Linked DNA regions of Medicago truncatula. The protein of the gene in region 3 binds, or shares a complex with, the protein of the main gene of each other region. Links are inferred from orthologs where the notes say so. Each region holds a gene or a part of one and is shown on either strand. Other genes may lie near its edges. The genes, in order: 50S ribosomal protein L31, chloroplastic; 50S ribosomal protein L28, chloroplastic; 50S ribosomal protein L27, chloroplastic; 50S ribosomal protein L21, chloroplastic.

The links.
Region 1: 50S ribosomal protein L27, chloroplastic (region 3) and 50S ribosomal protein L31, chloroplastic share a complex: the UniProt entries of both Arabidopsis thaliana proteins name them as parts of the 50S ribosomal subunit. The link is inferred for Medicago truncatula from reciprocal best matches to the Arabidopsis thaliana genes RPL27 and emb2184.
Region 2: 50S ribosomal protein L27, chloroplastic (region 3) and 50S ribosomal protein L28, chloroplastic share a complex: the UniProt entries of both Arabidopsis thaliana proteins name them as parts of the 50S ribosomal subunit. The link is inferred for Medicago truncatula from reciprocal best matches to the Arabidopsis thaliana genes RPL27 and PRPL28.
Region 4: 50S ribosomal protein L27, chloroplastic (region 3) and 50S ribosomal protein L21, chloroplastic share a complex: the UniProt entries of both Arabidopsis thaliana proteins name them as parts of the 50S ribosomal subunit. The link is inferred for Medicago truncatula from reciprocal best matches to the Arabidopsis thaliana genes RPL27 and RPL21C.

The regions. Positions count from the first base shown.
Region 1 is NC_053042.1:7,238,587-7,244,799, forward strand, and holds 50S ribosomal protein L31, chloroplastic, read left to right. Parts: upstream 1-4,661; 5' UTR 4,662-4,748; coding exon 4,749-4,814; intron 4,815-4,890; coding exon 4,891-5,235; 3' UTR 5,236-5,701; downstream 5,702-6,213. UniProt on the Arabidopsis thaliana protein: Binds the 23S rRNA.
Region 2 is NC_053042.1:15,739,786-15,746,376, forward strand, and holds 50S ribosomal protein L28, chloroplastic, read left to right. Parts: upstream 1-3,941; 5' UTR 3,942-4,002; coding exon 4,003-4,102; intron 4,103-4,200; coding exon 4,201-4,308; intron 4,309-5,620; coding exon 5,621-5,853; 3' UTR 5,854-6,065; downstream 6,066-6,591. Other genes in the region: uncharacterized protein, read left to right, coding at 1-324, 409-616, 702-1,355, 1,436-1,579.
Region 3 is NC_053044.1:6,288,327-6,296,156, reverse strand, and holds the start of 50S ribosomal protein L27, chloroplastic, read left to right. Parts: upstream 1-4,828; 5' UTR 4,829-4,908; coding exon 4,909-5,208; intron 5,209-7,167; coding exon 7,168-7,269; intron 7,270-7,359; coding exon 7,360-7,539; 3' UTR 7,540-7,830.
Region 4 is NC_053042.1:47,104,908-47,112,844, reverse strand, and holds 50S ribosomal protein L21, chloroplastic, read left to right. Parts: upstream 1-4,987; 5' UTR 4,988-5,051; coding exon 5,052-5,342; intron 5,343-5,898; coding exon 5,899-5,979; intron 5,980-6,568; coding exon 6,569-6,670; intron 6,671-6,761; coding exon 6,762-6,836; intron 6,837-7,101; coding exon 7,102-7,191; 3' UTR 7,192-7,412; downstream 7,413-7,937. UniProt on the Arabidopsis thaliana protein: This protein binds to 23S ribosomal RNA in the presence of protein L20.

The DNA.
Region 1 (6,213 bases), on a different chromosome or scaffold from region 3:
TTGAATATATTGTAAGATTAGTGAGACCTATTTTAGAGTTTTGGAGAGTCGTGTGGATATTTAGAAAAATGTAGTTGGGTGGTTTAAATAATTGGAAAATGTAAAGTAATATAAAATATTATGTGAGACCCATTTATACTACTCATATGGGTGACATGGATGTGAGTGCTCTTAGTTACGTTATTTTGTGAATCATGATTCAAAAATATATATTGTGAATCATAAATTAAATGAAATAAAAAATAAACTTTCAATTAAAAGCTTTTTTTTATTTTATTTTTGATAAATTTAGTAAGCTTTGATGCATTTTTGTTAATACATTTTTTGGTTCGAAACATGGTTAAAAGTTAAAACATTAGGTTGAATTATTTTTTTTTAGGGACATTAGGTTGAATATTTTATTTACATTTAATTTGACTGACTTAAAATTTATTTTGGTCCCTTATTTTTTTTTATTCACTATTTGGTTGTTTCTAAGTTTGAAAATATAATCTCAATTTTCAAAATTTTGAAAATGTAAATACAATCCACCATTGAACTGGAGGTATTTTTAGGTGACTTGTCAAGTTGAATAAAAGAATGAGCTGCCATGTTACATTAGTGGGTGACAATGCACATGCAAGTTGTTTTATGATAATAAAATTTAAAATAGAAAAACGAAAACCCCTAAAAAAAACCAAATTCACCAACAAAAAATGCATTTGTCACCTCTCAAGTTAAAGATATTAAACATCCCTAAAAAAAGTTTAAGATATTAAACATAAGATCTAAGAAAGAATCTGAGGATTTGATAATAGGTCAATTGATTTAATAAAAGATAAAGAGTTAAAAGTCCATTATTCAAAAAAAAAAAATATATAAAAAGAATGTGAGGTTTTGATAGGTCCATTGATTTAATCTAAATGATAAAGAGTTAAAAGTCTTACATTTAAACTGGAACGAAAAAGAGTAAATATTAATCTAAACAAGTAGTATAATACGTATAAGTTTGTAATTTCTTTCAGTCAGTTTGAATAGATTTTCCATTTTCGGGAGAATAAACCTTCCTAACCTTCTACTAACGACCTTTACGTTGAGCACGTTACCCACCAAATGGTTTTGTTTCTTTATTGTTTTATTTTATTTTATTACAAACTGGTTTTTTGTTGTTGTTGAGCACGTAACCTACCAAATGGTTTTATTGTTTGGTGGTTAATGAAGAAGACTAATAACCGCCGGTAATAGCTGATTTTTGTTGTTGTTGAGAAATCCAGCAACAGCTGATTTGTCACTAATTCATTCGATAGATGTAGATAGAATATAATCCAGTAGATAATCTCGCACACGTTTGACGACTTGCATATGATATTGTCGCTCGAGCTAGTAAATGAGTTACATTGTTGATTTTCCTTCTAATAAAACTTATCATAACGTTTGGAAAAGATTGCATAATAGTTTTACGAGCATGCTAAATTTTGACATGCTTTATCGTTTATGCCGTCTATAACTAGCTTGCAACCTAATTTTATACACTCGAGTATAACCCAAATTCATAAGCCAAAACAACGCTTGTGTTCAACCCACATGCTTGCGCCTCTTGAGAATTTGGTTGGCTAAAATTCTAAATAGTTTGTGCTCGTACACAATTTCTCTTGTTGTCCGAAAACAAAGATGTCGACACCGAATGTGTTCTTGTCTCTAAAATTAGTCGCATCAACATATACTTCCTCTAGTCACACAATACATTTAGTATTCACCAAACTTAAAAATAATTTTTGCTTATAAATGTGTCCGGAATGAATAATTAGTTGTTTTTTGTGTCGATATAAATACTTGATTTATTATTATTAGGAAGCCTTAATCCTTAAAATTTAACTAGTTGAAACTTGAGAAGTTTGAATGGTGGGCTATGTGCTGCATTTGAAGTTGGTGGTTACAACTTACAATGTTGGAATTTTAGTTAGAGAAAGGAATGCACAGTAGTAAGGAAGATTTAAATATAACGACAGTGACACTTACAATGTGGCGACGATGACAGCTGATAGGTTTACAAACAAACAAACAAGGATTTCTAAAGTTAGCACATATTTTTGTGATGTTCGTGTTTTTCTTCAAAATCACAATGGTTGTTGTCACGTGGTATCATCACATACACCTCACAATGTTTTGAGTAACAAACGACCATAAAAGACTAAAAAAGGAGTACTGTTCCCACACTAATTTTAGATGGATTTGCTTCGTATAAATTTAAGTCACTACCTATCACGTTGGTCTTTTTTTCTTGGCATTGCCTATCAAATCAAATTGGATTAAAATGCAATGTCATGGGGATTTAGATTTCCCATATTAAATTTAAGACACGTCAGTTAATGTCGACCGTCCTATCTCAAAGTAAATGGGATAGGTTACTTAAAAATTACTATTCAGCTAGAGAAATATAGTTAAAATGACGGTTTAAGATTTCATATTTAAAAATAATTTTTAAAAAATTAAATAGTACATTTTTTAATGTGTTGAATATACAATTTTTTATTAGAAAAAGTATATTATTTAAGGTTTTTGAAGAGTGAGTACTCGGATAATACCATTTTACATCTTCCTTAAAAAATAATTATTGTACTATCTATATATTGGGGGAAAGAAACAATATGTGGATTGGACAAGAGGACATACCACTACATAAATTTCGAAAATAAAAATTACATCAATGTAAACGTTAATTTTCATTTATATTATCCTTTCCAATTTTTTTATCTTTGCTGGAGGAGGAATTAGAAGAAAAAAAGTGCAGGGGTGTTCTAGGTCATTTGTGGGTCCCTTCAATCCGATGATCCATACAAGTTTATCAGGTAATTTATTTGAATTCATTTGAGTTTGGATTCAACTCAATTCAACCCACTCAAATTTAAAGTGATTTGGATTGGATTGTTGTTTATGTTTTCAAATACATGAATTCACAAATTTGACTCATTCAAATAAACTTTGATTTTTTTTTTTAGGAGAGTAAACCTTGAGTTTATTATATATAGATTAAGGCTTTTATGTGTTAGTAAATCATAATGGATAACCAACAATATCAAAACAATAGAAAGAAAAAGTAAAAATATAATATAAATATTTGAAAGAAAATTATCACAAAAATGATCAAAAAATAGTTTATATAAATATCATTCATCTATCCATATTGACATGTTTGATTGTACATTCATTACCTTTTTCAAGGGTACGATGTAAAATGGTTTTCCAATCCAAAATTCAGGAGGATAAAGTAAAAATAGTGAGAAAACAATAGAGAGATAAAGTAAAAATAATGTGAGTATGAGAGATAAAGTTGTCACAAAAGTTGTCATTAAATAGATGTTCAAATATCATTTCTCTATTGCAGAAATGATATTCTAACAACCTAGGTTGTTGTTACGACAACATATTATTATACGGCCTAGGTTGTTGTCCACTTATTTTTGGATGTTCATATATCACTCTTCTTTTTAATACTACATATTTTTCTCGACAAATGTATTTTGTGGTTGAACTTTGATGGCGAAATATGGGATGCTTATATGATATCTAACTTGATTTTATGGAAATGAACTATTAAGTGAGAACTCACCTAGACATTGTTTTACATCAAAACTGTTTCTTTTGTGATATGGATTAATGACGGGGTGTATACGAACCGGTTTTTAAGGATGAGTTAGGCCTCCAATTTCATTATGGTATCAGAGCCTGTCGAATTCAAGGGCCACCTACCGATTCACGCACCAAACCCAAAGAGTGTTGGGCGTGACAGGGGTGTATTGGGAAAAAAAATCCATGTCCCACATAAGATATATAAGACTCTTGGTAAAAGTTTATATAGAGGAGACAATTCTCACCTTAAGAATCAATTTTTAAGGATGAGTTAGACCTCCAATTTTATTAGATCGTGTCATCAACTGAGTTGTCAGATAAGCATCTCATTTATCACATCATCAAAGAGAAAATTGGCGATATAAAAATAGGAGTACCAAAATCGCAAAGAAGGCAAAATGGAGAAACCAAAATGAGATTTAATAAAAAAAAAATAAAAAACTTTGTTGTGCATGCGTGGTACCACATTGGATTTGTCATGGTCATGATTAACTACTGTAATTTTTTTTACTATGACTACGGTAATTTTTAAAATATACACTTTGTGTCTATCTATTTAGAAAAAATAAATGAAAATCACATTAACAAAACACATCTATCAAACTCTTTACTTTCTATCTTATTAAATGTAAGTCAAATTCACACATGTACTCAAACATGCTATATTTAACTTGCAAAATGACGATAACTCATCGTGATTCTGAAAAAGCCACGGTGTCCCATGATATGAAACATGCATGTAATCATAATTTATAATTATGCAATAAATGTATATATACATATATGTGGTCTCACACATACCATACATTATGATTAAAGTTGCAGTTCTCACATCCATTGTTTTTTAGAAACACATAGAAATGACAAAAAAAAAAAAAAAACAGTGGTAGTTAACTAGCGCTGACTTCAAAATAGAAAATCGGTAGTAGTTAACTACCGCTGAGTTTTTTGGTCATTTACTAATGTCTCTAAGAAACAATGGATGTAAGAACAACAACACTCCATCATGATTTCCTAATGGGCTTATTGGGCCTCATGAAATGAAAGAAAAAGCCCATTTTGAACTACAAACAAGAACAAGAACATATGTCCACACCACACAATCTCAAATTCTCATATCTAATCTCATCTGCAAAAAAATGGCGCAGTGCATTACCAATACCTTTGTTCAAGGAAAACCATTCCTTCCACTTCCCACAAAAAACGTAGTAACCAACCACTTCCTTAAAATTTCCAATTATTGTTTCTGTATTAAACTAACCAACATGTTTTTTTTTGTAGTTGCAGAATCAAAAAGGAAAAAAAGTGGGCAATTTCGGAGTGTATTGTAAGAAGAAAGACATACACCCAAAATTCCATGAAGATGCTAAGGTTTACTGTAATAACGAGCTTGTGATGACAACTGGTGGAACCCAGAAAGAGTATGTGGTTGATGTTTGGTCTGGGAACCATCCATTTTACCTAGGTAACAGGTCTGCTCTTATGGTGAGTGATGATCAGGTGGAGAAGTTTCGTAAGAAGTTCGGTGAATTGTCACAGATTATGGAGATTCCTGTGCTTAAAGGTGAGATTGTTATTCCTTCTAGACGTAAAGGGATTAAAAGTGGTGGAGGGAAGAAGAAGTGAGTTATTTGTGTTGGAATTGTAATTTGATTGTATGGTGTTTGTTAAAATGTTTCTATGAGTTTTTGTTTTGTATTTTGAATGATTATTTATTTGATGTTGTTTTTGTTAGTAATTCATGTTTGGATTGTTGCGAGATTGGTATAATCACTGTGAGCCAATGTGATTTTGGATAACCAAAACTACATTTTGGAGCTTCGGAACTCGTTGTGAATCCAAACATACACTTATATGAGAAACAAATATGGTTTTGGATTCCCTATTGTCTGCATTTACGCAATCATGAATCTCGACTATTGAATTGGATGAAGTTATATTTTAAAGAAGATTTCTTAATGCTGTGTCTGTTTTTCATCCAATGGTTGAGATTTGTTGGCTGTTGTTGTAATGTGTGATTCTTTCAATTGTAAAGAAACATGGTTTTTGATATATTTCGAAAGGAACTTGCATGTTGTGTATGCTTTTTTAACAGGCAAATGTTATTAAGCTAGTTGCCAAGTTAATTTCTAAGGATCAAACTCTGAACTTTGTGCTTAAAACTAATGAAGCGTCCATTAGTTTACTAATCGGGCTATTTAGTTGAGATGTGTGGTGTACGATTCTAAAATATTAGAAACTTTGTTGAACTTGGGTACCATTTGCTACTGCAAAGAAAGTACGGCCACAAAGCTTACCTTTGTTTTAATTTTATCAATTAAGAATTGAGGAGGGCAATGAGCACTATCTTTCTAATAATGACATCTCTAACACTCATTCTTTTCATTTATTGGATGAAACCAATCTCGGTATCATATTTTGAAAATGAATTCCACATAAAGTGATGAACCCATATGAGTTATACTTATACTCGAGTGTTAAAAAAAGAGTGTTTCTAACTTTTATCTTAAGAATTAGACGATGCCTTAATTCTTGGAGCTAAACTAGTTAAGGGCGTGCAAAAGGAGTTATAGCTATTATGCTTGAACCCTTAACTATGGTTGT
Region 2 (6,591 bases), on a different chromosome or scaffold from region 3:
AGTTGACGAAGTTAGCTTGAGATTTATGGTGGATAGAGAAAGGAACAAAGTTCTATATGTAGAGGCAGGGAAGGATTTTGTTGATACTCTTTTCAGCTTCTTAATATTTCCTTTAGGGACTATTGCAAGACTTGCGGCTAAGGAGTCAAATATCGACGCAGTGAAATTTGGAAGCTTGAGCTCATTGTACGAAAGTGTATCGGATCTTGGAGAAGAACATTTGTGGAATAAAACTTGCAAAGAAATGCTACTGAAACCAAGGGTTCCCATGGGACTTTATTACCGGAAACTCAAATTCAATATCGATGAATCAGAGCCGTTGAGGTACTACCACTGCGAGGACAAGACTTGCAAAATTGAAAATAGGTATTGTGTGAGCTTCTTCAGGAATCAAAAATGTATCTGTAGAAAATTATTGAACCAAGAAAGTTTCGTAAATTCCCTAAAAGGAATTGAAGAAAGCGGTTTTGTCAAGGAAACTTCAACTTTTATCGTTTCTGACGATCTTTGTGTGTTGGCGAATGAAGTTGGAACAAGCTTAAATCTTTGTCAGAAGCATGGAGTCAATGACATTGATACTATTGATAAACGAACCGTTAATATCAGCAAGAAAGAGGCATGTTTTCTAAGTATGTACATCGTATATGTACTTTCCGTTGATTATTCTCCCTCTCTAATTATTTAATCTATGCTTTGAATAGGTAATTGATATTCTAAAGTTATCTTTGGTCTCAAAGACTCCTTTGACAGACTTTATCTATAAAAAGGAACAGTTTGTTGGTAATTTAGACCCAAGAAACCGGTCGGAATTTTGGATTCGAGAGGTAGATGAATCATCTGATGAAATTAATGACAAGATGGTTGTGAAAGTACTGAGGAGAAAATCAAATGAACAAATTCTGTTTCTAGAGGCGCAAGATGATTTTATCGACTTTGTTTTTAGTTTTCTAACCTTCCCCTTAGGAGGAGTGTTGCATATGCTTCAAGGATTCTCTTTGTTAAGCTGCATTGATAATTTATACAAAAGCATGATTGAGTTGAGTTCGGACGGATGCATAATTTCAGAAAATCTCAAAGAGAAACTAACTAAACCGCCGATTCCTATGCAATTTGAACTCAGGAACCAAATATTACCGATAGATACCAAATATAAGGATTATTATACACAATATAAATTTATTGATCCTAAATCCCCTATTTCTGGAGGATATGTCAAAGGACCGATTACCTTCATCGTGACAGACGACATGGTAGTGACCCCGTTATCATCCATTGCTGTTGTTTCCTATCTAGAAAGAATGAAGGTTGCCTTTAATGATGTGGAGGAAAGGGTCATCAGAATTGGTAGGAAAGAGGTAAGGCAGTACATGAAATGAAACTTCCTCATTTAGTATAGCTTTTCATTTTAGTAACATATTTTGATTGCATGGTGTAGGGTCTCAGCATACTAAAAGCTTCATTGACCACAACTTCTACTTTGACAAACAGTCTCAGCCTGTTGTGGAGCAATTCAAGAATGAATAAAGGTCCAAGTCTATCCATACAAGAGCATAGCTTGCAAGAACAGTGGAGTACATAGCTTGTGATTGTTTTTCTACCAATGGGGTGGTTGGAACTTGGAACACTTTTATACACTATTGAATTTATTAAAAAAAATTACCAAACGGGTGGTTTTCTATTGTGATCGATTTTTTTTGTCAAATAGTTTAATGATTAGAATTCACTTTTTAAGATAAATAAATGGGACGTATGTGATTCCAATCTTGACCGTTATATATTACAATGCATTGTGATTGATTTAGTAGAATTCGTTTTTATTTTGATGTCATATAATCAAATTTTAGTTGCCGATATGTTTCGTTTGGTGTTGGGGTCTGATGGTGATGGTGGTGTTTGGGATTTGCGGAGGGAATTGTTTTGTGGAGGAATGTATTTCTTTGTTGGAAAATTTCTAAGGTTACTTCAAATGACTGATGAAATTGGAACACCGTTCACAATAATAAATAAGAGCACTGCTATTTATCTAGATAAAAATTATCCCGATGGTACAGCGAATAACACTTAACCAATCACCTCTATGCCTGGCCACAAAACAAGTAAGATGGTGCTATAATTTAGGAAAAAATAATGAGTAAAAACAAGGTCGTACGTAAATCATTCGTGAGGAAATCTGTCTAGATAAGTAGCATTAGGCAATAGATAATGCTATGTTAAAGAAGCTTACAATATACCGATGTGGAATTTTAGAGGTGAAAAATCATCCTCTTATATGATACTTCCTCCGACGTAAAATACATGTCGCAGTCAATCATTGCACACATGTCAATACACAACTTTGACAATTAATATCTTTAATTATATATAATAAAAAAATTAAAATTTTAATATTTTAAAAAATATTCATCGAAACAAATCAAACAACATCTTACATACTAATATTTGTATTTATATATTATTTAAAAAAATTGGTCAGAGTAAGTTATGTGAATAGTGTACATTGTAAAATTGCGACATGTATTTTGAAACGGAGAGACTAGTTTAAAACAAAATGATTGATGAAAGTCTTTTTCTTTAAACGGTGGTTATTAACTAATCGTCTTCTTATTAAAGATAATTGTGTAAAATAAATAATTTTATTATTAGATGTCTTTTTTTTGTGGTGGCCGGGTTTCGAACCTCGGACCTTGCATATATTATACATTGTTCATATCAACTGAGTTAAGCTCACAAGAACTATTGGATTTGATTATATGTGCAGGGACGTGGGTTTGAAGAAGGAAAATTCTATGGTGAAGTTATAAAAATGACTTTTTTGGTGAAATTAACACTATAACATCAAAAATGTAATGAGTAACATCCCACCGTTTGTACAATGTCATCAAAAGTTCAGTCATCGTAGTATCATCAATTCATCAGATTAACAAGACTACACTTAATCTAATTTTATCCTACCTTGTTATAAGCGTAACACCCCACAAAGTGTAACACTTAAAACTATCACATAATATCATCAACTATGTATGCATGTTAAAGATTCCAACGATAAAATAGTACCTGTAAATCCAAGATGTTGCAAGCATTACTAGATGAATTACTATTGATTATTAATCAGCAATCAACAATTTAAAAATGAAATCAAACATTAAAATCAAAATTAACTTTTTCAAAAAAATCAATTTCCTGACTGAACCGTAGAAGCTCCCTTTGAAGAATCTACACAACATATCTTATCTATTCGATAAATGTCCTACACTTCCTAGTGTGGAGAGTTGATTTTGGTTGGTTGGATATTCATAACACTTTTATTAATGTGGTTTTGGATTATGCGTATCAATTTTGTTGCCTAAGTTTATAAGGAAGATGTTATTGAAAGAAAGAAAAAAGAAAAAAAAAATTATTTAGTTATCTTGCATTTGAATTATATAAAAAGTGATAAATAATATTATTTTGGTGTAAATTTTTCTCAACCTTTCGATTATGTTGAAAAATTAATCTCAATATTGGTTCATATCAAAGGAAAATAGTTTTAACTTCGAGGTATTATGATATTTTAAATGTTTGAGATTTTAATTTTTGGATTGTTGATGTTATTGGGGCATGAAATTTGCACTATTTTGCTTTATTTGGTAGTTGAATATTGTTATTATCCGCTTTATTCTTTTTTATACAAATTACCCGCATTATTCTATAATAATTTGGTTTCACTCTTGACAGTGACACATCTTGTACTTTGAATATTGATTAGATATATTATTTGAATTTTCATTAAAAAAAAAATGGTGGAATCACAACAATAATAAACTTTTTCTACATAAATATAGTTAATGGGATAATTTGACGGATTAACATTTATAAATAAGAGATTCTTGTAAAAAAAAAAAAAAAAAAAGGATCATTTATCTATTTTCCTAATAAAAAACAAATTATTTGAAGGTAGATAATTTGAGAAGAGGCAAATAAGATTGGGTTGGATAAGAAGAAGAAAAAAGAAAAGAAAGAACAATGGCGGGTTCTGCAGTATCACTTGGAAACACCTTCGTCTTCGCTTCTATGCGCTCAATTTCATCAACCAACACTCACAAACCCTCTTCATTCTCACCCCGTAACTAACTAACTTAACTAACTTCATCTCAATTTCATTTTTTTATTTATTTTTTGCTAAATCTGTGTTGTTCAATTATATAATTTTTGTGATTTCAGAATTAGGGTTCTTGAATTCTCAGTTAAGCGGTCTCAAAATCTCGTCTCAGACTTCGCTTAAATTGCCCACACCAATTGTTGCTTCTCCCTTTCAACCAATTGTTGCTAGTAAGTTATTGAAACCAATAATTCATATTCACTCTCATTTTCACCATGTTATGAACTATGTATATGTATAGTGTGCTGCCCACATTTTCATTTTTAAATTTAACAATTCTTCTGATCTTTTTTTATTTTTAATGTAATGTCATATTTTTCATTAATTTTTTCCTAATCTAATTGTGTGATATACAAACAAATGCGTGCGTTTTGACACGCGGACCGTGTGGAGCACGGGTCTGTTGCTAGTTTATGTTTTAATAAATGGAAATTATAAAATGTTATTGATGTTGTGCCGGTGTTTGACACTAACTCATGTCATTTCTCTAATTTTGTCGATTTCGTGTCATTGCTCTAATTTTTAAAGAATGGAAGTACTTAAATTTTGTCGATTTCGTGCCAGTGTTGACTCTAACACGTGACACGTCTTCAATTTGAAGTGTGAATGCTACATACTAGTTTGTTTCTTGCGGGAGTAATACTTGTATCATAAGCACTTATTGAAGTTACTTTAATGTTATTGAGTTTCTGATAAGTTGTTCCAGTAATCACCGTCTTTATGCAATAATTCCTTGTTTTTTGGTAGAATGTGATTAAGTGATATTTGTTTCAGTCTTAGGTATATTAAAGGAAGAGTTTTCTTTGTTGAATCTTGTGTTAAGTGAACAGATTAATAGAAATTGGAAACCTTTTATTTTCATAACAATATGGATAGGGAAGAAATGGCTACCTTTAAGTGACCAACTATGGTTTGTGTACTTTTTATTTATTTAAAAAGTAACATATTGCTGTTGGTTAATAAATATTTTTCATATTTTATTGCGGACAGAGAAGTTTTGCACTGATATTTACTCCAGCTTTCATCGATAGAGTGACAGATAAATACCCTTCTTAGTTTATGTTTGCCTATAGTAACAATTCTTTTTTATATATAAGAGAATAACAGAACATGCATAACATGGTGCGGTACGATTTACCTATAACTGAGTTTTTTAAGCATGTTGGTAGAAGTTTATTACATGACCTGTTTGTATATAACATATGTTACCTTATATGATTAGTGTTAAAAATGGGGTTAGTGATTCAGTTTAAGACCTGTTTGCACAGAAGGACATATGTTATGAGATGTCAATCCATTAAATAATAAGTTTTTGGCTCTTAGTTAGAGATACCATGGGTTCACCCAAAAAAAACACATTTGGTTATTGCTATTTGATGCCAAACTACATCATCATTGTCTAAAGGATGCTACTGCAAATCCTGATTATTATTATTATTGTAAATCAATTTAACTTGGTATACTTTGGTTTTATTTTTTCAGAGAGGGTGTGTCCCTTCACCGGAAAGAAATCAAACAGGGCCAACAAAGTATCCTTTTCAAACCATAAGACAAAGAAATTGCAGTTTGTAAACCTCCAGTACAAGCGAGTTTGGTGGGAAGCTGGGAAGCGCTTTGTAAAGCTTCGTTTGTCAACTAAGGCGTTGAAAACCATAGAGAAGAATGGACTTGATGCAGTTGCAAAAAAGGCTGGAATTGATCTCAGTAAGAAATGAGAGAACAAGATTATGATTGTAATTGAGTAAAAGGATGGATCCATGTTCATTAATTTTTGTTGTAGAATTTATTTTCTTTCTGTATTATTTTTAGGGACTGGGGTTGATTCTGGCTATGGTCAAAAGCAACTTGAGTTATGTAAACAAATATGAAGTTTGTGAGTTTACTATGTCATGAATCTTACAAATGGAAATCTCTTTGATCATCCCCTAAACATTTATCCTGGACCGTAGCACTGGGAATTTCAGCCTTCAATGTTACATTTTGCATTCAATTATAATCTAGCGATGTTGCATAGGTGCGGTACGGGTACAGTACCTGGTACGATACGCATACAGGTACGAGAATACAACAATTTCTAAAAACTTTAAGGTATGGGTACTTTAAAAGAATCATGAGTTTTGTTATACAATATAACATGAGACAATTAAGTTCTTCAATTTACAACAAAAACATCACAATAAAAGTTAAAAAAGAATAAAAAAAAAAAATTAGTGTTGGTTAGAACAACAACAAAAATTCATATATTACTTTATTATCATATCAATATAGAAGAGAAAGTCACAATTAAATAATGAACAAAATTGAAATACCACGAGTACCATACACGGGTATTGTGTACTTCATATTTTTACAAGTCGTATTTTTAAGAGTACCCATGCTTGAGAATGATTTAATACACATCTAGTTTATAAAAGTTAATTTTCCATTGATGACAAGAAAATGTTAACATTATG
Region 3 (7,830 bases):
ACATTAACTCTAATATTGCCAACTTATTACAAAATAAACATAGGGCATTTTATTTTGTTGTTTATATGATAAAATATTAGGTAAAACTTATATCAAAATAGGTAAAATTAAGAAGAAATATAAGCATGAAACAAATTATTGGGAAGAAAAGGAAACAAATTCATCACTGGAAATGAATTAAAAGAGATGGAAAGGAATTAGAATTGAACCTGATGGTGCAACAATGGAAAAATCGAATCAAAAGAGATTATTCTTGGGCTATGTAATTGGGCTAGTACATGTTTAAGTAACATTCATTATTCTTGCGGTTTGGTTTGGTTTGGTTCGGTAGCTGAGATGCAAACCGCAAACCGAACCAAACCTCGCGGTTCAGTGCAAAAGTCATCCGAATTCATCCGAACCAAGTGTGGTTTTTTGCTGTTTTGGTTTGGATTGGTTTGATTTGCGGTTTTTCTATTGGGTTGGTTCGGTTTTGAACACCCCTATTTTTAACCCAAAATTAAAAGATCTTGACAAGAAGCAAACTATACTTGTGTTTGTAATTTTTCGTCTTGTAATGAATTGAAATTAATTTTTTTAAGAGACTAAAGTGGATTATATTACCCACATCTTCCTCCCATGCAAACAACTTCCGCCTCCACTTTCAAACTTCCCCCCCTCACCCCAACCCAACTAATAGATATATGCGATTGTCGTCAACAAGTTATCAGACAACTCAGATAACCAACTAAATCTCATGCTAAGGGGTCGCCCACACCCACGTGTGCAATGCCCTAATTTATTATTTAGTTATTTTATCGAGTTTAGTGTCATTTTGAATAATTTATGTGAATAATTACGATGTGTGATGTTTTGTGTTATATGTTGGTGAATATTAGTAGCTTATTATAGTAATATTAGTGAAGGAATAAAATTAAATAGAATAATGAGGCAGTAAGGGCAAAATTGGAATAAGAGGGAATGTGTTAGGTTAAGAAAAAGGAGAGGTTAGGAAAAGAAGAGTCAGACACGTAAAACAGTTTTTGGAGGAAACGTGAAAGTGAGAAGTCAGAGAAGAGAAGAGCATTGTGAGAGGGCAAGGGAAAGCTTAAAGAATTCAAAGTTCATCCAATCTAAGGTAAGGGTGGGACTAACCTTCTTTAATATGAGTTCTATAATTCTGAAAAAGGGGCTAACTTTGATGTTGTTGATAATTGTGATGTTAAAGAAATTAGGGTTTTGAATTACAATTTGATTCTTGAAAGTGTAAGTAATCCAATGAATTAATTTGAAAGTTGTTGTTTAGGTTGTAGAGTAACCCTAGGTAATGTTTCCTATCAAATTTGGATCGAATGGGGTCAAAAATTGAGATTTTGAATAAAAGTGATTTTAAGTGTTTTTGGGAAATAAATGATTCTGGGATAAGCTGTTTTGGAGATTTGAAAATATGATTTTTCAGTAAAATATGATAGGATTTATTGAATAGAACGCGTAGGCGAAAACGGAATTGGAATCGGGTTAACGGTTGAGTTTTTACGTGTGAAATGGTAAAACCGGGAAAAAACCAGGATTGTACAGAGCTGCAGCGCATGTCACTAGCTACTGCCTGACCAGGCCTGGGTGCAGCTCGCCAGCGCCTGGGCGCAGCAAGACAGCCCTCATGGGTGACTGCTTTATTGTGCCTTCGTTTGCGTGCTGTCAGGACTTCGTATTTTGAGTTTTTGTGCTTTTTCACCCTTTTTCTGATTTGAATTGGCTTTGGTGTAAACATGAAGGTTTTAGATAATTATGTTATCTTTCCAATGGCGTTAGTTTGACTTGAAAATGTTTTGTGGATTTTGAGTTATGATGAAAACACTTCAAGTAGGTCTTGGGGAAATTTTAAAGAAATTTAGCATAACTATTTCCAAGTCATTCCAATACTTATGGTTTGGTTTCTAAACTTCAAACTTGAGTATTAAGGGGTTCAATTAAGGTATGCATGCTTGAGTTTCGTAATTATAAGTGTTTGAATGAAATTATTGTTTATTTGCGAAGAATAATGTTGATTAATTGTGAAATTGTGATGCGAAGTTGATGTTGTTGTTGTTGCATTTTAATTGTGTCATTGCATAATCATTTCATTTTAATTACGATGGCCTGGATTGGCACCACGATGGCCTGTATTGGTGATTTATTAAGCGAAAGGGGGTTGTAGCCTATCAAAGCCGAATCACGGCATTAGCGAAGGGAGTTGTAGCTCTGTTGGTACCACATGCATAATTGCATTGCATTGCATTTTATGAGTCATGTCGTTGCACTGTTGAGCGAAGTTAATTGATGATTTGTAGTTGGACTTATGTGAAGCATTGTTAATGATGAATTGCTGATGTTTTGTGTTGTTAAATTATTTTAAATGAATTATTGCTAATTATTATCGAGTGTGAAATCTCACCCCTTCTGTTTGAATGTTACCTCTATATGGGTAACGTGCAGATATTCAGGAGTAACAGCTGATGTGAGTTGAATTCTTGTGTCGTCATAGGAGTCATGCTCTGATACGTAACGGGATGGGAATTCTTATGTGTTTTATTTACCATTGTTACGTATCTTCTTATAATTTGATGTTTTACCACTTTTAGGTGAATTTTATATATGTTGTTGATGTTGAGGCCTCAGTGCCAAGTAATGCTTAAAGATTAAATATTTCCGCTGCGACATTATTTTGAATTATTGAAAGCAGTTGTTTAAATAAATAGTGAATTTAACTCTATTTGTGTTAAATGATATTTTGAAGAACGAAATGTGACATTCTGTTTGCGATGAACTCTGATTTATTTTATATTATTTATATGTTGGAAAAACGGGGTGTTACAACGTGTCCAACCAAAAAGAAGGTATTAACCCCATCACCGACTACCCTCCTCAGGTTATCATTGAACCAAATTCCGACTCCCATCTTAATCCCTTCACAAATCTTTCGTAGATCCCTCCACCACACAGAACTATCCCTCCCCCCTCCAAAAGTTACCCCCAAAAATTCACCATAACGGGTTGCTAGGACTTCGTACCACAACCCTCCGCTATCTACATGCATCCTCCAACACCATTTATCTAACAATGTTAAATTGAATTCCTTCATCCTCCTAATCCCCAAGCCACCATTTTTTTTTTACCTAAACAAACAGACTCCCAACTGACCCATGGAATCTTTCTAGAATCTGCCCCCTCCGAAGAGAAAAAAACATTTTAAAATAGAATGTATAGAGGTCATTATACATGTGAGAGCCTTGAAGAACGAAGAAAAATAGATCGGAAGAGAAGGCATGATAGGTTTCATTAGAATGATACGTCCTCGAAAAGACAAGTTTTTATTCGTCCACCCTAACAATCTAGTTTTAATTTGGTCAACCAACGGGTTAAATACAAGCTCATCAATAAATGAGTAAGGATCCTCTCCATTTATGAAAATAAACGATGGATGTCATTTTTAAGAAATAGAATGTTAAATTTAGTGATAATCACAATAATTTCTTTACTCAAAATACTAGACCAAGTGTATTCTTACAGCCCATATTCAATTAATTTTTGCAAAATTAAAATAAAAATCAATTATTTTTTATCAAATAATCTAGTTATTATAAATTCACATTTAATGTTGTCATGAGCTTAGCTCAATTGATATAGACAATGCATAATATATATAAGGTTTGGGTTCGCCACCACAAAAAAAATGTAAATGAGTGTGAAATCTGGAATTCCAACTCAATCGTGTGCATTTTATCAACAAAAAAACAAACTCAATGGTGTGTGTGTATAACTAGTGTGTTAACCTGTGCAATGCACGAGTGATAAACTATTATTTTTCAATCTCAATTTTTTTATTTTTTTATTGATGAAAAGCATCTATGCACCGTGAATTTTGAAATATGTCAATATTGTTTTGTTAAAAATAATATGTTAATATTTTTTTAGCCACAATGATGACAAATATGTGTCACATGTTTTTATGTTTATCAGTGGTAAATATATATCCCGTGTTTTTGTGTATAAATGAAAAATATATTTATGGGTTTTAGTTTGTCGTCGATGAAGCGCCGCAGCGGCTGTCCTTTTAGAGTCTTGGTGTGTGTTGATTCTATTGTGGTCACTGGTTTCGTTCAACATCGTCGACGTCTTGTAGAGCTATGGTGTTGACGCGATTATGAGTTAGTCTCAGTCTGTTTTTGGCTATTTTTTTTTCATTTTTGTTTATTGGCGTTTGTTTTCGTTTTGTTTCGTGGAAATGAAGATGGGTGGTGACTTTGTTTCGGCTCTGTGATTTTGTCTAAAAATCTCGAATCTGGTTTTTTGGATTGAAGATATGGGTTCTTTAGTTCTGGCTTCTTTGATGGATGCATATCTCGATTCAACATGACTGGTTTTATCTTAAGGTTCCTCGAAAGGGCTAGGTGCGTAGATGCTCTGTGTTGACGGTAGTATCGTTCATCATACCTAAAATATTTTATCCATCGTGGTTGCTTCTTGCATCGTTGGTGGACAGTGGTTGATTCTTATGTGTTGATTATACTTTGTTACTTTAGTATGTTATAAATGGTGTCATTAAAAAAAATTGTCTTAAATTGTGTAATTGAACTATGACTTTTATAATTCAACCTTACATTGCCACATGTAAATTTTCTTTTAAATTTGATCTTGAGATGTCATATGTATCGTTCATTTTAAACATTCTCAAATGTATCTATAGAAGATGTGATGTGTTATCAATGTGCTGCAGAAAAAAAATAATAATGTTTTTTTTTGAATGGCAGAAAAAAAAATTAATATACAAAAATATTAAAAAAAATCAATTAAATTCCAAATTTCCCCTTATCCACCTTCATTTTCATTTCATTCATCCCTTCTTGAGTCTTATCTCTCACTTCTTCAGACAACCCAGCAGTTTCCACCATGGCTGTATGCATGGGTTTCAACATAGCAACAGCATTCAAATCACTTTCTCTCTCTTCTCCCTCTTCTTCATCTTCATCTTCCTTTTTATCAGGTTCCACCACTCTTCGTATGACTCCATCAGTATCTCTCCCTCGAATTCATCATCGGTCAGCACTGATTATCCGGAATGCTCATAAGAAGGGAGCAGGAAGTACCAAGAATGGCCGTGACTCGGCCGGAAAGCGTCTCGGTGTTAAGGTTTATGGTGACCAGGTCGCTAAACCTGGTTCCATCATTGTTCGTCAGCGTGGAACCAAGGTGTGTTCATAATCAGTTTCTCTATTCCATTTTCAAATTTTAGACAAAAAAAAAATGACGTGTCATATGAATTTATGAAATTATGAACATGTTAATTGTCGTTAAGAATTATATTTTGGGTGAATTGAAAAAAATGAAATTGGTGTAGTTTGTGTTCAATTAGAGCTTATAGAAAGAATTAAAGAAAGGATTATAGATTGGTGTAATTGGCATGTTTAAAACCAGACACTGCCATCCAGAAGTCCTAGCTCATCTGACAAATGCCGAAATTGTTAGGCTGATACCATGACCGGGGTTCGAACCCCGGTACCTCCACTTGTGTGTGTGAGTTTATAATGGCTTTGCCATTTCGTCTATCTACCAAAAAAAAAAAAAAAAAACCAGACACTGCCTTGCTCTGCTTTGATATCCAAATTATCAATTACGAAATGTCACATTTTTGTTTTAATTAATCATTTGAGTCTGATATATGAGACTATGAAGCACAGACACCTCTGTCATTAAGGTCTCTGTGTCCGACACACGACATGTGTCCCCCAAAAAAATTATTTGCTTCAACACACTTTTACACTCCTTCGACACTCCTCGTAAACTTCTATGAGGCTTAAAATTGTGTTGAAGTAGTGATGATAAATGAAGGGGTTGAAGATATCATTTTTTTTTTAACTTTTCTGTATAGTAGATGAATGGATGGATGAGGTGAAAATTTGTTATATTTTGTTTAATAACTTTGTACCAAATGGCTCAATTTAGACGTACATATATATTTTAGTTCTCGATTTAGATCTTTAATAAATAATGCTCATATCTTATTTAATAATTATAAATAAATAAATATGTATGTATCAGTGTTTGTCCTATATTTTTAAAATTAGCATTGTCAATGTGTCCGTGAGGTGTCAGTGTCAGAGTTCGTTCTTCATAGCTTACTCGTAAGTACGCTTTGACACCACTCGTTTTTTAAGTCCTACGCTGACATTTGGACGGACATCCAAAGAGAGTGAGTTGGCAATTATACTATTTTGCCGATTTATATCATTAATTTCAAGATGCAATTATAAGAGTGAGAGTTGCAAAAATAGTGAGTTTTTATTGTTCTCTCTAGTTATGGGTTTTTTTTTGTTGTGGTTAGTCACTGAAAAACCCTTTTTCTTTGTTATGGGTTTTTTAAGTCAAGTTAAATGACAGAATTCATCTTCTATAAGAACTTGTTATTTTAAAAATTCTTAGATATTGTCTCTTTTTAATAAGTGTTTCCTTAGATGTTTAGGTCAATCAGAACAGGTAAAACATGTCTACTTTTGCAATTTATATGCTAGAGCCTAGAATTCCATATGAAGGGAACTAAGAATGATTAAGGTCTTTTGAATAATTGAGTTGCATTGTGTAATTGACAATATCACCATTGATACGATTGTTTTTTATCAGTATGGTAAAGTTGTAAGCGATTCCACAACTTTTATTGCACACTTTATACTGACTGAAAGAACTTCTCATGTTTGTTCTATACTGATTGTAATAAATGCTATTATGGAAATAATGTGGTCAATTTTTTAAATCGCAATCACGGTTAGTGGTGATCCTGGATATTATGGAAAAAAACATGAAAAAACACGGTCAATGTAGCTACTTTTTGCTGTTGCGATGCGGTTGCTGAGAGTTGAAAAACCTTCACATTGAGTTTGTATTTGTGGTTATAGGCACACAGAATATAGTAAATCATGATAAGGTTGTTACAGGCACACACAATATAGTAAATAGGTGCATTTGTTGTAGCAGTTTTTAAGATATTGTTGAATCTTTATTGCCTTGCTGTTTTTCTGACAATAACAACCAAAGTATTTTTTTTTTCCGATAGACTTGGCTAAATGCATCTAATGATGTTGTAATGTGAATGTCCTATCATGAAACTTACTGTTTCTCTAAGTTCTAATATTTTTTTCTTTGCAAAACTTGAAGTTTCACGCAGGAAAGAATGTAGGGATTGGTAAGGACCATACCATTTTCTCCCTAATTGATGGAGTTGTAAAATTTGAGAAATATGGACCAGACAAGAAAAAGGTAAAAAATAGTCTTTCACTGCTTTCTGTATATGACCTGTAATCCTACAGTACAAATTAACTAGCTAATAAAGTTGTAAAAATATTACAGATCAGTGTTTACCCACAAGAAGAACGGGTTCCGAACCCCGATAGCTATAGATTAAGGAAGATAAAGTACTTCAAGATGAGGCGTGAACGCAAAAAGGCTGCTAAAGAAAGAAGAGCTTTTCAACCACAGCTAATGCTCGCTTCCGTTGATGATACCGCAATAGAGAATCCAGATTGTTGATTCTATACTTCATTCACTTCACTGTGTAAAATCTAGCTGTCTTCAGTTGTTTTTCTTTTGTGTATCTGGGAAACCTTTAGCATTGTAATATTGTATTTGTTTTCTGGCAGCAAAATTGTACCGTACACGGCCAAAACTGTTCCCTAGTGTCCCCAAACCAATTACAAGACAGTATAGCCATTCACTATCAATTTGTTTGGGTGTGTAATTTTCTTTTTGAGTAAATGAAATGGTCTTTTGCTTTGTTTACATGATGTAACTCACATTTCACCTTTACAAGCTACCTAAGTT
Region 4 (7,937 bases), on a different chromosome or scaffold from region 3:
ATCCATTTTGTCGGCGGTTTAGCCCAAGTTCGATCAACAGTCTGCACATAAACATTGAGACGGTGGCACCACATATAATATTGAACCGTATCTAAAGCTAAAACACAAGATGCTTTAGCGTTAACCAATTTTTGTTCCCATAAGCATGTATTATGAGCACACCAAATACTCCATAAAATAGCCATAAATCGTGAACGATCTTCCACATCAAGAGCTGCAAGAATGCTAAATATAATAGATGAAAAACTACCACTTGATGTCATGTGTGGTCTCTATTTTTAAGTAAACTCATATGTAGAATTCATATTATTGAATAAATTTTTGCAAAAAAGTTTAAAATATTATAAGAATCTTTATTAAAAAATATTAGAAATTTTTTAACGAAACATAAATTAAATATGAATTTTAATATTTTTGGTGGTTAAAAATTCATATTTAATTTATGTTTTGTTGAAAAATTTTAACTTATTTTGAAAGAGATTTTTATAATATTCTACACAATTTTATTAAAAAATAAAAATGGTACGACTTTAAAATAAGGACCAAAATTGATAATTGACAATTTTATACGAGTAAATGTCGAAAGAAATTTTTAGAGAAAATAAAATGAAAATTTGATATATTTATAAGGACCATAAACATATGAGTCATGTTAACCAGTGCCCCGGGACACTAGTTAGGAAAACTAAAAAAAGAAAGTTATAAAGTGAAAATAACACATTTTTATGTTTTTGAGGAATTGACAATGCAAATTTCAATGTAATACTTACTACTACCTCCGTCCCTAATTATAAGACCCTTTTGAGAATTTTTTTGGTCCCGTTTTATAAGATTCATTTGCTATTTCCAACTACATTAGTTATTTATTTACATACCTGCCCCTATTTATTATACATCTTTTTCTTCAATCAGCAAAAAATTGCATATGGAAAACATAAACTAACTCTCTTTCTTAAGGATAAAATTGTAAAAACAATAGTGTGCTCGTGATTTTCGGATATCAAACCATTAATTGATTTGAATCGTTAATCTTTGAACTCTCGATTTTTATTCGTGGGAAGGGAAAAAAATGAGTAAAAACCCTTAAGACTTTGGATTCGGGGGTTGGTTACGCGAAGGGAAGGTGCTAGCACCCTAGGCGTCTATGGTATTTCATAGGAACCTCTTACCTAAATTATCTTGTGCTAAATTGATTTGCTTATTTGAAAATTATTACCTAAAAAAATCTAAGTGAAAGAATGGAGGGAGAAGAAGTATATTTTTGGTTATTTTTATTTGATTTTGAAGGATTAACTCCTTTGCCTATATACCCTTAAAGAAAAGGGATCAAAACCAATGTAGTTCACCTAAAAAATTTCTTTTTGGTGGGTTGGATTGATTTTAACAATTTTGTAAAAAAAGATTTTAAGAAGAGATTAGAGGCCTCAAGGCATGAGAGAAAAATAAGATGAGGTTGGTCAAATTTTAATTACAAGAAAATCAAGTCTAATATGAATATTAAGTCAATTAAGCATTTGATTAAGAAAGTAAAAGGAAAAAAACACTTGGGTTACCAACCAAGGTTTATTAAGAAAATATTTCTGAAGTTTTGCATATTTGATTTTTTTAAACTAACGGTGAAAACTAACGTAACGGCGTAACGTAACAAGAAATAAATGTCAAGTGTCGGTGCATGTGTCGGTACATATTCTCATATGGATATTTACAAGGGACCTATATACATGCTAAAGCCTCAAGAGAAAATAAACGACAAAAACAAAAAAAAAAAATAAAGTGCACAAATTAAATTATATCAATTCCTAAATACATACTAAAAATTAATGACAAGAAATTAAAATATGCATGAAATGATTCTAAATAAAATGCAGATATAAAATAAAACCATAAAAAGAGTAAATAACAATTAAAAAAAATCACAATATTTTTTTTGGAAACTTTGAAGAAAATTTTTTAAACAAAAGAGGTGCAAAAAGTGAAAACAGTGGTGACAATAGGAAAACAATAGTGAATTTTAAAAACAGTGGGCTCAGACTGGACAAATCTAGACCGTCTGATTAATCAGAGGATCCAGATCCAATCACAGGAAAGACTCATCACAGTCACTGGATCAAAGATCCAAGGGTTAAAAAACAGCATAAAGTAGAGAAACAACACAAGAAGCACAGTGACTGTCAGATCAAAGATCTGACGGTTTAAACAGCAGGCACACAGTAGACCGCAGACAGACAAACACGGATGGAACACACAGTAGCCATCAGATTTTAGAACGATCCAGATCTGATGGTTCACAGCGCGAGGGATCACCATAGAACATATACGCGCGTGTAGGAAACAGAGGGAGTATATAAAGGGAGAGACAACAAGGAAACAACACAAAAACATTTATCATTCTAAACTTAGAGAGATTCTCTCTCACTTCTCTCTAAAAACTTTTTCTGGAAAACGGAAGGAGGAAGATGAATCTACATCTTCTCCGGCGAGCTTCGCCGCTCCGGCGCAGTGGTTTGCCGGCCCAACAGGGCGGCGCGCAACAACATGTTATAGATCTGTATTTGAAATCTCAAAAAAAAAAAATCATACTTTTTTCAAAAAAAAACGACGGATCTAGACATCCTTTTCTTTCTTGTTACCAATTTCAAATTTAGTTTTCGAAAATGAACAGCAAGCATGTCTAGATCTACATCTTTTATTTTTTTCAAAAAAAAAAAAAAAGAAACGAATGAAGAAAGAGAACGAAAGAGGAGAATCAGTTACCTCTTTGGATCGGTTAAGATCTGGAGATAAAAGTCTTCGGAAAACTTCAAGTGCCTTCTTCTTCTATTCCTTCACGTGAAGCTTACATTAGATCAAGATTCGTTGTGTTGTTGTAATACCAAAATTGTTGTCGTTTTGAAACGATTTGAGAATCGGTGATGTTGTTCTTGCTCGAAAAATGGTACGATCTTGGTGGTTATATGATGATTCGAGTTGGTTGTTGGGGAATCCGGTTCAAATCTATGGATTTTTGTGATTATTTGTGCTTGCTGGAAAAATCTAGGTTCATATGTTCATGATGATGTTCACGATGAACTTCATGATTTTTTGCAGTTTGATCTGGAAAAGAGAAGAAAGAGAAATTTTTGGTGTTTATAATTAATGCTGCTGAAATCTCTGACGCGTTTGACATTGTGCAGACTTTTTATTGTAAAAAACTAGGGTTTGAGACTGATACATACCAATGACGAAAATGCCCTCTACTGAAACTTGGGCAAAAAGAAACCCTCAGGACCAATAAGAACAGGACACATGGACTTAGACTTAAAGAAATAAAACTAATAAAATAAAAGCAAAATAAAATAAAAAGAAGAAGAAGAAAGTCACTCGTGACTCTTCTTTTTGGAAGGTTAACAAAATAAAAAAATAAAAAGAAATAATAATAAAATTGATAAAATAAAAAGATAAAAATAAAAATAAAAAACTGTTCCTTCGAAACTAAATATGGTACTTTAAAGTAACCTCCCTACCGAAATTTTGATCGAGACGACTAGAAAATACGGACCAACTTTTAGATGTTTATCGTACAAGCGGAAAAAGAAATTTAACTAAAACGGAAAAGGGGAAATTCATTTATATGCGAATACGCGCAAAAAGATTTTAATTACATACCGGTACGGATAAAACTTTAAATGCCTAAAAAACGAACAAAGTGGTTTTTAAACGTACAAAATGCGAACAAAACTTTTAACTACTCAAAAATACGAATAAGAGATTTTCACTACTTAAATCGTGACTAAAAAGGTTTTGACCACTGAAAATTACAAATTAATAACGATGAGCATATTTAACTGATTGAAAAAACGAATGAAAAATATTTTAACCAACCAAAATACGAATAACAACGTTAACTACTTAAAATATGAATAGAAATATTTTGATGAGCTAAGAATATGAATAGAAAGTTTACCTGACTAAAATACGAATGAAAACAAATTGACTATTTTAAAAAGCGGAAAAAATTAATTGGTAAAACTTTAGGGTATGACAAATAGTAATTACAAACAACATTAATACAAATACACACTTTCTTAATTCCCGTAGTTTTAGCAAAAGAGTCTTATTATATATAGGGACAAACGTAGTACATTTGATATCTTAACCAGTGCGCCCCGGGACACCGGTTAACATTTTTCCAAACATATTTAATCCAAATATATACTCCCTCCGTCCCGCATTAGATGACTCATTTGCAGATGTGTAATTTTGACCTAACTTATTTTGACCATATTTTTCTATTAATATACAAAGATAAATAATATCATATAAGATGTCGTTAGATTTGCCTCGATGAGTATTTTCAAAATATCAAATTTTTATAATTTTTTCTAATATATTATTCAAGATATTTAAACTCAAAATTATGCATTGATATGCGTAATAAGGTCAACTGTGTCAAGTATTAAGGGATACAAGGAGTATTTTGTATTATACTCTTCTTGTCTCATGTTAAGTGACACAGTTGACCTTGTCACACATACCAATACATAATTTTAATTTTAAATAACTTCACTAATCTTTTAGAAAAAATTATAAAAATTTGATATTTTAAAAATATTCATTAAGACGAATTCAATGATATCATATATATATATATATATATATATATATATATATATATATATATATATATATATATTCGGGGAGTGGTTATGGTGCATAAGGAAATCCTTATGCACCGTGCATAAATCCCAACATAATTGTTTCCTACACCCCCAAAGTGAGCCAAAACCATTTTTGTTCAAAATAAAAGAAATCTGATAGTTGTGATGTGTTTATGCACGGTGCATAAGGAAATAACTTATGCACCATAACTTTTGCCATATATTCGTACAAAAATACGGAGTTCAATAATACCCATCTTCAAATGGGTGTCATCGTAGGACGGAAGGAGTAATAAAAATGAATAAAATAATAATAAAATTGGGTTTGTAAGAGTAAATAAATGGATAGGATGAAGGAAGAACATAAAAGGATAGAGTTGAGAGAGAGAGAGAGGAAGTTCTCTCTTCTTCAAAATGGCTTCTGCAACTGCTTCTACACTTTCAACTCTCTGTTCTTCTTTCACAACCCATTGCTCAATAAAACCTCATTTCTCTATTTCTCATCAACCTTTCTCTTCTCGTTTTCCTTCTCACAACCTCTCTTTCCAATCCACTTTCTCACAACGCTTGCCTCTGTTACCCGCTCCCAAATCCACTGAATCTTCTGTCGCGCCTGTTGATTCTGATTCTCAAGTATCGGAGTCTGAATCCTCTCAAATTGTTCAGTCTCCTTCATGGGAGAAGGGTCTTTTTGCTGTTGTAATGGTGAGTTTTTAGAGGATTTTTTTTAATGTTGAGTGTGGATTGGGTGACCCTTTTGTTTCAATTGTTCAAAAGTTGCATGCTTTATGTATAATTTTTAATCTAGATTGCTCTATGGGTGAAGGCGACGCAATTGAGTTTGCATATTTTTGGCTCTATGACCATGGTTTTATCTATTTTATATGTTTAGTCATTCATCTGAAATTATTTGTGATTGAAGTATCGCACATTAAAGATTAGGAATGGTTAGTAAAGGACCCCTGGAGTTTGGCCGAATAGTAAGTCAAGTCTGGCCAATGATTGTTCCAACCTATATTTTTGAACTTGGGTTCTCCCGAATGATTCGTCCTTAATTGAATTTATTAATCATCTAAGCTCAATAAATTAGTTAATAAAAAAGTTAGTTTGGATGTTTAAACTGTTTTTTGTATTGTTGGACTACTTCCAGTTTGTTGGGTTGGTAAATAGGTATTTGCTGTTTATTGTTTTGGGGTCTCTGTCTCAAATTTTATGTTCTGTTCTTTTGCTTTTTAATATTTTCTTGTGTTGTTTTGTTTAGATTGGTGGGCGCCAATATATTGTTCATCCTGGCCGCTGGCTTGTTGTTCAGAGGCTCAAAGGTGCCAACGTTAACGACAAGGTATACAACTTGTTTGTTCTTAAATTCTGCCATTTGACATGTTCCACTTATTCATTTTTGGTCTTTTAGTTATGCAGTATTCGTTAAACTCATTATTTTGTTCTATATGTGATTGTTAACATCACCAACCTTTGTTAACATCACCAACCTATTATCACCATTTGCTTTGCACCCTAAACATTGCCTCTAAAATTGCTACCATTTATTAAGTAATGTTAGCTTGCTCATACAATATATTTAAAACTATGGTCGGCCTAGGTATGATGCGAGTGCTTCCTGCTCCCTTTCTGGTTTCGTGAAATTGACTATCATTAATGACCTGAACTATGGGTAGGACCTATAAATATAATATAAAAGGGTTCAATGCAAAAGTAAGTTATAAGAAACTAGGCCTAAAGAGGTATTTTAACCATATGATGTGAGAAATGAATGATTGAAATTATAACCATTGGTTTTCAAACCAATGATTATAATTTGTCACTTTTCCCTTTGAAGCGATTTCTTCCTTTTCCATTATCTGAACATCTGCTGTTATTTTCAAAGCGTTTTTTTATGCACTGTACATTAATTTTAACTCTTGGAATTGTAGATCGCCCTGCATAAGGTTTTACTGGTTGGAACAGATACATCCTGCTACATTGGCAAACCAGTGGTAACAAATGCTGTGGTATATGCGACAGTGGAAGAGCAGGTACTCTTCATTCTCTCTGCTTTTGTTCTCCTGTTAGGAAAAGCTAAAAGTAAAATACATCTCCTACCTTAACCATTTTGTTTTAATGCAGGGTTTAGACAACAAAGTAATTGTATTCAAATACAAAAGAAAGAAGAAGTATCGTAGAACTATTGGACACAGACAGGTATATTAGCTATCCTTTTACTTTGCAATCCAATTATTTATCAAAACTTTGCGCGATTGAAATGTCTATATGTGGCTTGGGAATTAATTCTTATGAGCGAATTATCTTACCCTTAAACTTTCTGAATGGAGCTTAGAAATATGGGAATCCATGTTGTATATATGATGAATGTATGCCTGTAGGCACATGAGGCTTCCATGTCATTTTTTATGAATATTTAGTTTACCAGAATTTGATGCTTGATTTGGTTTTCAACTTGTGACAGCCAAATACACGCATCCGGATAAATAGCATTATGGGCTATGAGGACTACCCAAAAGTTACCATGGACGATATAAATTTGGAATCATCATGAACATTTTGTGCGCTATGCGAGTATTGTATCTTCTTTCATCTATAATAACTATTAGCAATCAATTTGCCATGGTTAGTTTTGCTTTTATCATGGATGGAGTTGTTTGAATGTTTATGTAGCTATTGTATGTCATTGTAATCTTTTGTTTCCAAATACATTGCTATTTTCCAGTCTCCAATTATCACTCCAATTCCTACTATGAAGAGCCTGTTTACTTTGAATGTTACTTTTTCAGTTCTCTTTACCTTGCATAGAAAGATTTGTTGGAACAAATTTAATTTGAAAATGTTAATCATTTTTTATTGGTCCCTTTCATCTAATCGGAGGAGCAAGCATATCATATATTTTGAAGTATTTTGTTTTTTAAGTACACAAGCAAATTATAGTCACTCCTTGGACCGGATACCCGAGTTTCCAAAAAAAGAAGAGTACAAGCAATTACGTTTTCATCTTTAATTCTAAAATACGTTGAGATATTGAATTTACTTAAATCTAAGGTTAAGTATATTTTTATCTACTAAATGTTCACTGTCGTGAACATTTTTATTTAACATCTGATGTAGGAGAAATTCTTGTATAGTCACAAACCCAAATTGAAGTTATTTAGGCACACACTCATAAAATACATATCATTTAATTATTTTAAAAATACATATTATTTAATTATTTTCTCTTTCATACTTTTTAAATTCATGTGAGTGTGTCTAGATGAGTTTTATTTATGTTTGTGTCTAAGCAACAACTGA